2 linked regions of the Tribolium castaneum genome follow. The protein of the gene in region 1 binds, or shares a complex with, the protein of each later gene. Links are inferred from orthologs where the notes say so. Each region holds a gene or a part of one and is shown on either strand. Other genes may lie near its edges.

Region 1 (4,999 bases):
GTTGGAAAACACAACTTATAAGTACCGTCAAATTTTCGCACATGTATTCCATGAGCAAAATTGTAGCCTGCTTCACCTGCTCCACCTCCCATTCGACTCCCTTGACTAGTACTATAGTAGCATGAAGTTTGGACCTAGTTTTGAACATGACTTGCACTTTGTACTGTTCCTGGATTTTAATTACGTAAGGACACGTATTATCAATATTTTGGGCCATTATTGGAGGCTCAAACCCAAAAATCAGCGGAATTAATTCCTGAAATGATTGTACTAGTGGTAGGGTTGGATTCAAAATGTTTGATAACTATACCCTAACGCGACTCCTTGCATTTTCAACCCCTTCCAAATCGCCCGAAATCGAAACTTGATTGCTTTTTTCCATCGGATTCGAACGATTCGAATCAGGGAAATGTACGTGGCATTGAGTTTCTTCCATGACACGTTTAATACTCAGCCCTCCTCTGCCGATAATATGCGAATGGTCCGTGTAACTTATGTCCATTTTCATGGTTACACGATTGCATCTCGTGTACAAAACCGTCATAATCCTGTCTTTGGCGGCTTTAACATCCTCTTCTTTGCCGGCGATCCTCACGTGAGGATCCTTTTTCGATTTAGCCCCCAATTTGAGTTTGTTTGGCCACGTTATGTAAGTGTCAGTGTCTTCCATAATGTTCGCAAAAAAAACGTCAGCAGGGATCAGTGCATCGTTGTCCCCTTTTTTTACAAATAATTTCACAAATTACAAAAAAAACTTTACTTACCACTAAGCATCTGTTCCAACTTTTTGCGGTCGACCCGGAACCGGTCCTGGTACAAATCCGAAATGTCCTTTAATCCGTGTTTGGCAACAAAATCCCTTAATTCCTCTCTGGAGCCCCAATTTGAGTTGAAACCAGAAGTAGCCGTGCCGCTTTCCGACACTTCTGATTGTGTGTCGGAATTTTTTACCTCGATTCCACGAGGTGTAGCACAATTACAAGACATTTTTTTTTTAAATCACTACGTCCACAATTAATTAATGACTAACCCCATTTAATGGTCACTTTGTAAGGATTTTTACGCGTTTTTAAGGGCTGTGTAGGTGACACGCTTTTGGTAATTTGCGCGACTGAACTCTGATAAGGGCCAAAGAGAAGTTTTATCTCCTGCTTTTTCTCAGCATGTTTTTCTTCAATCTTATCTGAAGTACTCTGGTACAGGTAAGCGCCAAATTTTACTATTTGCCAACTTTTTCAGGTTTCTAAATAAAAGAAATAAAGTATTTCAACAAAACTTTATTTGTCCTTAAGTGTTACACAATTTATTTCTACCACAAATAATTCATCCCCCAATTTAAATCTACCGCCACGATATGTCAAGCGGTGGCGCTACTTGATTATCATCAATTTTCCGAATTTTGCCAAAAACTGCGGGGAAACTAAATAAAATGAGTTGATAAAACCCGTCTGCACTTGAAAATGGGTGAAGTTATGAAACACCTGCGTGAGAAATCACGGAAACGCAAGCAACTTCTGGCTCAAACTGTACGTATAGTAAAAATGTGGTTATGTATCACTGACAAATAATGTTTAAGCTTGGTGTTTCCAACCCCGAGGAGCTCCGCCAGGTCCTAGGAACCACAACCGAGGTCTCTAAGAGACGTCCCGATTCCACCAACAACGAAAACGAAAAATACGACTACAAGAAAGACACTCCAAATGAATTGGTCTATCGTGACTCTTCAACTTTTCTCAAAGGGACTCAATCGTCGAACCCCCATAATGACTACTGCCAACATTTTGTCGACACTGGTCAAAGACCCCAGAATTTCATCCGCGATGTCGGTCTAGCGGACCGGTTTGAGGAGTACCCCAAATTACGTGAATTAATCAAATTAAAAGACGAACTTATTGCACAAACTGCAAATCCCCCTATGTATCTCAAATGTGATTTAACGACTTATGATTTGAAAAACCTAAATTGTAAGTTTGATGTGATTTTAATTGAACCACCTTTGGAAGAATACCAGAGAACCATGGGGGCCACAAATATGCAGTTCTGGCCATGGGACCAAATCATGAATTTGGATGTGGGGGAAGTGGCAGCGCAACGAAGTTTCGTATTTTTGTGGTGTGGAAGTTCAGATGGACTTGACATGGGGCGCGTGTGTCTCAGAAAATGGGGCTTTCGCCGGTATTTTCCCCATTTTTAGACCAAAATTTTGTAATAATAAATCTAATTACAGATGCGAGGATATTTGTTGGATTCGCACAAACATAAAAAATCCAGGTCATTCGAAAAACCTTGACCCTAAAGCAGTGTTCCAAAGGACAAAGGAACACTGTCTTATGGGTATTAAAGGAACGGTTCGGCGGTCAACCGACGGGGATTTTATTCACGCCAACGTCGACATTGATTTGATCATTTCGGAAGAGAACGAATATGGAAGTTTGGAAAAACCGGTTGAAATTTTCCATATAATCGAACACTTCTGTTTGGGGCGTCGGCGCCTCCACATTTTCGGTAGAGACAGTACCATACGTCCAGGTTGGTTAACGATCGGTCCCGAGTTAACAAATTCGAATTTCAATGCCGATTTATACGCGAGTTATTTTACTAATAATAATATAACGACGGGATGTACGGAACGAATTGAAGCTTTGAGGCCGAAAAGTCCGCCTCCAAAGGGCAAAGGAAATTCCGGAGGACGAGGTCGGGGCAACTTTCAGCGAGGACGTGGCAGGGGACGTTGAAAAAACACTTTTTAAAGCTTTTATTTTTAATTTATGACACTACCATAGTCTCCAGCAGTGCGCTCAGATCTGATTTGAAAAAATTATGACACTACCAAATCATCTCCAGCAGTGTTCTCAGATCTAATAACTTAAAATATAATATTAATCTTGGATCACAATCACAATAAGCAATATCAATATAAAAACTATAATAACCATACAATTATGTATTTATATATAAAAATAGTGGTTTACTTTATTTTCGTTCAATAATAATGACGCAGTCACATAATTTTTGTTACTTTAACCTTATAATACAATTTTTATATTATAAAACTGGTTGGTACCATGTTAAAAAATATTTTTCTGAAGACCATACACTGGGTTCGAGATTGTTTTCAATTAAAATCAGTTAAAACATTAACAAAATTTGGCATCGTAAGTACAACTTGTTTCTATTGTTGAAACACAAAGAGAAAAATTAAAACATGTTCTAAGTTTAACTTATAAGAAGGTACTTCCTAATGTAAAAAAATACATTGAGAAAAAAACTATGCACTAAATAATTCGAGCATACAAATTATTGGTCTTAATAAAATAATTTAACAGCCTTTTCTAGGGAAGAGAGAAATTTTCGTTAAGTTATTACAATTATAAAATTAGGGAAAATTAGAACTGAAGCCTGAACAAGAAATCGTATACAGTTTTGGATCGTTAAATTATTCTTCATTCAGTCTTCATATTGTACTGGCAATTCGGTTCACAATTAGTTCATTTCTAAATTTCCCTACAAAAAAAACTAGGGAGAGGGTTAGGGGGAAAATGGCAAAAATCTTATAATAACCGGTAACCAAAGTACTAACATTGGCAAGATAAAATGAAATGAGATCAAAAAAGCATTTGTACTCTCATAATTAAAAAGTGTTTTGACTGATTTTAAACTTGGTTTAAAAAAAGCAAGCGGATGAATGAATGATCAAAAAAAAATAATGACACAATCCCTTCTCTACATGCAATATTTACAGTTTTGTACGATGCATGCCCTTTGAGCCTCCCATTCACAGGTACGTGGACTCCCCTAGAAATAAATTTAAGTAAGACTGATTTCCCAACATTGTACACACAACACAAATAAGCACAAGCACAATTTACACATAATTACCTGAAATCCGTATTTGTTCGGAGGCTTTTTATACGAAAAAAAAAATAATAATAAAAATCAGACCAACGAGAGAATTATTATATCTTTTTAATCATTGTCTCATTAACGGAAAATACATTCTTACAACTTGAGCTTACACAATACAGTTTATTAAATTCAAAAAACCAGAATCATCACTAAGCAAAAAATGTGATTGTCCTACGAAGAAAAAATTTTGAGGTAGACGTCGCTGTTCCCTAATAATCTATCTGACTGACACACCAATTTAATAAACTGTAATCCGGCTGCTTTTTGTACTCGATTTTGTGTTATTATTACTTGCGAATAGAAACGGTCTCGGATGCGAGCCTTGAGGGACGCCCAGGGTAGATAAACAAAAACGAATCTAGAAATACTGGTAAATGCACGATTAGACATGGAGTTACGCAGTCAACAATTCCGGTTGTTGGTCGCCGCTGCTTGATGTTGTTAGTTGCGAAGCTAACTCGCATTCTGATAATATTCTGTAGCCAACACCTCGAGGATCATCCATTAGGGTCTCGCCTTCATCCAGGACTGCATGAGATTAACCCCAAACATAGATTAGTAAAGACACATGCAGATGATTCGATCATAGAGAGAGAGAGAGAGAGAGAGAGTTAATACCAACACGAAATGAATGAAATGGATTGCGCAAGCGTTGTACTTGGATTTAAAATAAAAACAACAAAAACGAAAAAGTCTTTTCGAAAAAACCAAAACAGATCAAGGAAAATATATTCTTTTACAAAGCCAAATTTTTGTAGCTTACACAACACACTTTATACTCGTCAACTATACAACTACATCCTAATGAAATAAATACTTTTTTCTCTTTTTAACAGATAGAGACAATAATATTTTTTCTGTTCAAACAGCAACAATGACACTTTGAAATTTTAATAATTATTACAAATAACATCACTGGATTTTCCTCTAATTGTTTCTGAATTTTATTCTAATTTTGGGTTTGGACGGGTTGCCTGACAAGTGTCGTGTACTCACCGCTTTCCCAGCCTTCTTCTGCTGAATCGTTTTCTTCTGACCATTCGGCTTCTGAACTTTCGCTAGGTGTGTCTTGAGATAATCGGGGGATTTCAGG
Region 2 (4,026 bases), about 5.7 Mb from region 1:
CAGAACATTAAAAATTTAATTAGCACCTAATGAGTAACATTTCTGAACAGTAAAAAACTACACAAACATAACTTACCTATGTTTGCTAAACATGAAGAAAAAATCCATTTTGCGAGGTTGTAATGTCAATTAGAACACAAAAAACTTCGAGACAAATATTAATGTATAAAATTGTTTGCCTATGATCAAAGGTTTCTTTAGCACAAACAAATTCTTGTCTGTTTAATATTTATTTTATTACTAATTACGTTTTGTGGAACTTTCAAAATGTTTATTAAGACAAAAAAGATTTAAATGACTAGAAAATTTATAAAAAAGGACAAACCTTTAAACTTTAAAGTGAATATTACGTAAATTGCACAATTTACTGCTAGAGAAAGTACAATAATTATTAATTTGTTCATGTAGAATCCAAATTTAAAACTTATTTTTTCTATTGGTCTTCCTTTTTCGCATAATTACTTTTTTTAAGCACCATTTTACGAAAATACTCGTATAATAATGTTGATTCCTAACAATTTTTTGTCTAAAAACGAAGCAAATCGCTTTATTTTGATACCTGTTTCGTTAATGGATAATAAGACAGCCCTATCTTGGCATTTATTTTAAATAAATTTATTTTTACTATTTTTCTATAGGTCTTTCTTTTTCGCATAATTACTTTTTTCAAGCACCATGTTACGAAAATACTCGTATAATAAAGTTGATTCCTAACAATTCTTTGCCTAAAAACGAAGCAAATCGCTTTATTTTGATACTTGATTCATTAATGAATAATAAAACAGCACTATCTTGGCATTTACTTTGAAATAAGTTCATTTTTAACAATTCTTTGCTTTAAAACAAGAAAAATACCTCAAACCGGTTTATTTTATTAATAGTGTCGTTCAATAGGAAAGGCTTATCTTCTCTTAAAAACGACCCTTTAAAGCACAGTATTTGGACACTTATTTCGTATAAATTAAGTTATTTTCATCTACACTACGCGTAGAAATGAACGAAATTGTCTGAAAGTATAGTTTCTCTAATTCATCTAGATGTTGTTTTATTAATAAATGCACTGAATATCAACGATTTGTTCCTTAAAAACGAAACAAATCACGTTGTTATCGTGCGTGTTTCCTCTAAATTTGGATTTTGCATTCAAAAATCAGCACAGACTGCATACTTTTCATAATTTAACTTACTTTGCTTTACAGAAAAAAAAACTTGTGTAACCTGAAATGCGATTTCTCGAAATCAACATCACAAGAAGTATAATGTAAAGTAAGAAAAGTAGTAAATTTGTTGGATAGTGTAATTAACACAATCGTATTTGAATGTCTTCGCCCTACTTTTCTTTACCTAGTAAAAATATTTTGGATGAAAGCATCACAATTCATTAGTAGACAAGTTTTTTATTCTTTTATAAAATTTTGGATTCCAAACAACCTAAATCATTAATCAGTCTCGTAATAAATAATTGAACATGTAATACTTTGTAAAAGCAGATAATCTCCTTATTTAATAAACACAACAGGAAATGTTTTGTCTCAATATCTGATCGGAAGGAGCAATTTATTTTAGTTTTTTAGTTGGCTGAAGTCCAAAGCAGCCAACGAAAAAACTAAAGTGATTGATCGGATATTTCTGACGAAGGAAAGTAAATCGTTTGATATTTCACTGTAAGACTGAATGGTATTGATCCAAGGTAGTAAATTATCAAACATTCCTTAAAACCAGGCGCATTTCTGAACAATACAATAAACAGACAGAACACAAATAAAAACTAGTCATTTTTGGTAGACTGTTTACTTTGGCCAAGTAAACAGCGACTATACTAAGCATAGTGCGGCGTTAATTAAAGTCCCCGTTAGGGAAAAGTAAGTTTTTGAGTTCAGCGTTCAAATCAAAGTTACTGGTCAATTGTGGACACCTTGTCATTGTTTCCGTCTAGTGCAAACACTTCACTGTGTCACTTTGAATTCGATTCCACTCAGAAAAGCTCGTCTGCACTCCGGCACCCACCCCGCGCTTAAGAACATTTGAGTGGCAAATAAAATGATTACTGACCACGTAGTCCTGCGTCTCCTGCTCTTTGGCAGTCAAGCGCCTCATCAACACCCGTTCCCGTTGCTGGGACTCGTTGAGTTGGTTTCGTGTCTTGTCCGTGGTCTGGCGCAGGTCCTCTAGTTCGCCTGCAATCACGACGCATTATCACTTCACCGATGCACGAACGACACTACACTGCACCACTCATCAACAAAACAGACATAGAGATTGACAAGGAATTTTTGTGGTGGTGGCACTGAAAGACACACTAGAGTAACTGAACTAAGTACCTTCCTGCTGGGCCAGGCGCCGTTCCAGGGCCGCGATGTACGCGTCCTGCTGCCTCCACCGGCCGCACCACTCCGCAGGGCTGAGGGCCCCCATCTCCGACTCGCTCACCAGCACTCTCGCGGGGGCCTTGTCGGCGGGGCTGCCGGGCTGGGCCTCCGGCCCGCTCCCTCCCTCCGACATCCTGCCGAATCAAGCCTCGACTGAAGCTACAACGTGCCCCCGGCGGCCATTGTTATCCCTGAAGGAGGTTGCGGTGAAAATACTCACTTGAGCGCGGTGCCTGCCCCAAAGTGGGCTCTCACTTAGGCAATGTTCGAACGTAAACACGAAAAATGACGCGGGGCCAACGGTGAGACATCTGAAATCAACAGGGAACGCAGCATAAAACAACGGACACACTGAAATTAGACGCCATTATTCACTTTTTGACATTTGGACGCCGTCGGTAACGCAGCGAGCGACTTCGACGGGCTGCTGGACGCCGGTACAGCAACGCTCAAAGCTAACGACACCACATCCTGTTTTGCTGGTTGCATACAATAACGCCCAATTGATCAAGCAAAAAGCATAGGGTGTTTCGCGTCATTTTACGAGGCCTGCGCCCAACAACACATATTCCAATACGAATTAGATCTTTGTTACTCTGAATTACATATGATCTCTTCTGAAATACAGCTGAATAAAAAAATTAAGATTCGAGTTTGCAGGCAAAAAGTTTCAGTATTTATTGTTACTTATGGTGTAGATGACTGTGGAAAATAATACAAAAAATATAAATTTTTGTCACTTGCCGTTTCATTTTTAAGCAAAATTACAAAAATTTTGGATTCATTTACCCAAAATCACGTTAAATTTCGGGAAATTGTCGAAATGATTTACTTTTATCTTGTTTGCTATTCTTCTGCTATTAATAATTTTTATTTGACATATCATCAATAAATTCATTACATCGGCTTTGCGTTTACAAAATATTTCGGTCAAAATATTTGTGGTAGATAGCGAATTTTAATCGTGTCTTTATTTAGGCTTCATTACATGTAACTTTTTTTGTGAAATTAATCATCACACCTCAGGTCCGATAATTGCAAAATGTTAATTTTCGGCTTTATTAACGCATATATGACGTGTTTCCGACGTGATAAATGTAAAGAAATCAATCAAAAACTGTTTATCTCCCTTATCCTTGTCATCGTTATCAAATTTCGTTATTTACGATACTCTCAGCCACCGTAAATTGATCAATACACTTAAGACAAATCACATGTAATTAATTAAGCCGCAAACTCATAAATAATTCGTTTTTCGTCCACAATCGCGTGATGTCGTCGCTTCTGGAGGGGATAAACCGGTGAGTGACGTCGTTGGAGGTATAGCAAAGGCGGTAAAAATTGTAAGCGCCGTTTGGTTAAACACGAGTATGCGGACACTACTTCGAGAGATTAGACGTGCACCTAAATAATAAATGACGGGTGTTTGAGATTTTTTTTAATTAATTTATCAAAATTATTTATTAAGGTGTGAAAGTGTCCCGTTTCAGGATGGCTTCGGCGAAGACGCGCAAATGGGCAGGTGAGTCAAGTAGGCTGGGTTTATGGCGGATGTAGGGAGGGCTAATTCGCCAATTCCCCTTCCGGTGTTTCAATTAATTTGATTCAATTTGTACTAATGTGATCTCCGGTCCTGGCATGCACTCCACGTGGGGCC

Evidence for each region. The genes of interacting proteins can lie anywhere in the genome.
Region 2: Mettl14 (region 1) and fl(2)d share a complex: the UniProt entries of both Homo sapiens proteins name them as parts of the WMM complex. The link is inferred for Tribolium castaneum from reciprocal best matches to the Homo sapiens genes METTL14 and WTAP.

Annotation. Positions count from the first base shown.
Region 1 is NC_087399.1:165,879-170,877, reverse strand, and holds Mettl14 (N6-adenosine-methyltransferase non-catalytic subunit), read left to right. Parts: upstream 1-1,331; 5' UTR 1,332-1,460; coding exon 1,461-1,526; intron 1,527-1,576; coding exon 1,577-2,175; intron 2,176-2,227; coding exon 2,228-2,735; 3' UTR 2,736-3,009; downstream 3,010-4,999. Other genes in the region: BicC (protein bicaudal C), read right to left, coding at 26-256, 311-717, 765-987; phosphatidylinositol 3,4,5-trisphosphate 3-phosphatase and dual-specificity protein phosphatase PTEN, read right to left, coding at 4,078-4,264, 4,314-4,434, 4,903-4,999. UniProt on the Homo sapiens protein: The METTL3-METTL14 heterodimer forms a N6-methyltransferase complex that methylates adenosine residues at the N(6) position of some mRNAs and regulates the circadian clock, differentiation of embryonic stem cells and cortical neurogenesis.
Region 2 is NC_087399.1:5,869,394-5,873,419, reverse strand, and holds the start of fl(2)d (pre-mRNA-splicing regulator female-lethal(2)D), read right to left. Parts: upstream 2,801-4,026; 5' UTR 2,590-2,800; intron 2,529-2,589; 5' UTR 2,503-2,528; coding exon 2,322-2,502; intron 2,178-2,321; coding exon 2,053-2,177; intron 1-2,052. Other genes in the region: sialin, read left to right, coding at 3,861-3,891. UniProt on the Homo sapiens protein: Associated component of the WMM complex, a complex that mediates N6-methyladenosine (m6A) methylation of RNAs, a modification that plays a role in the efficiency of mRNA splicing and RNA processing.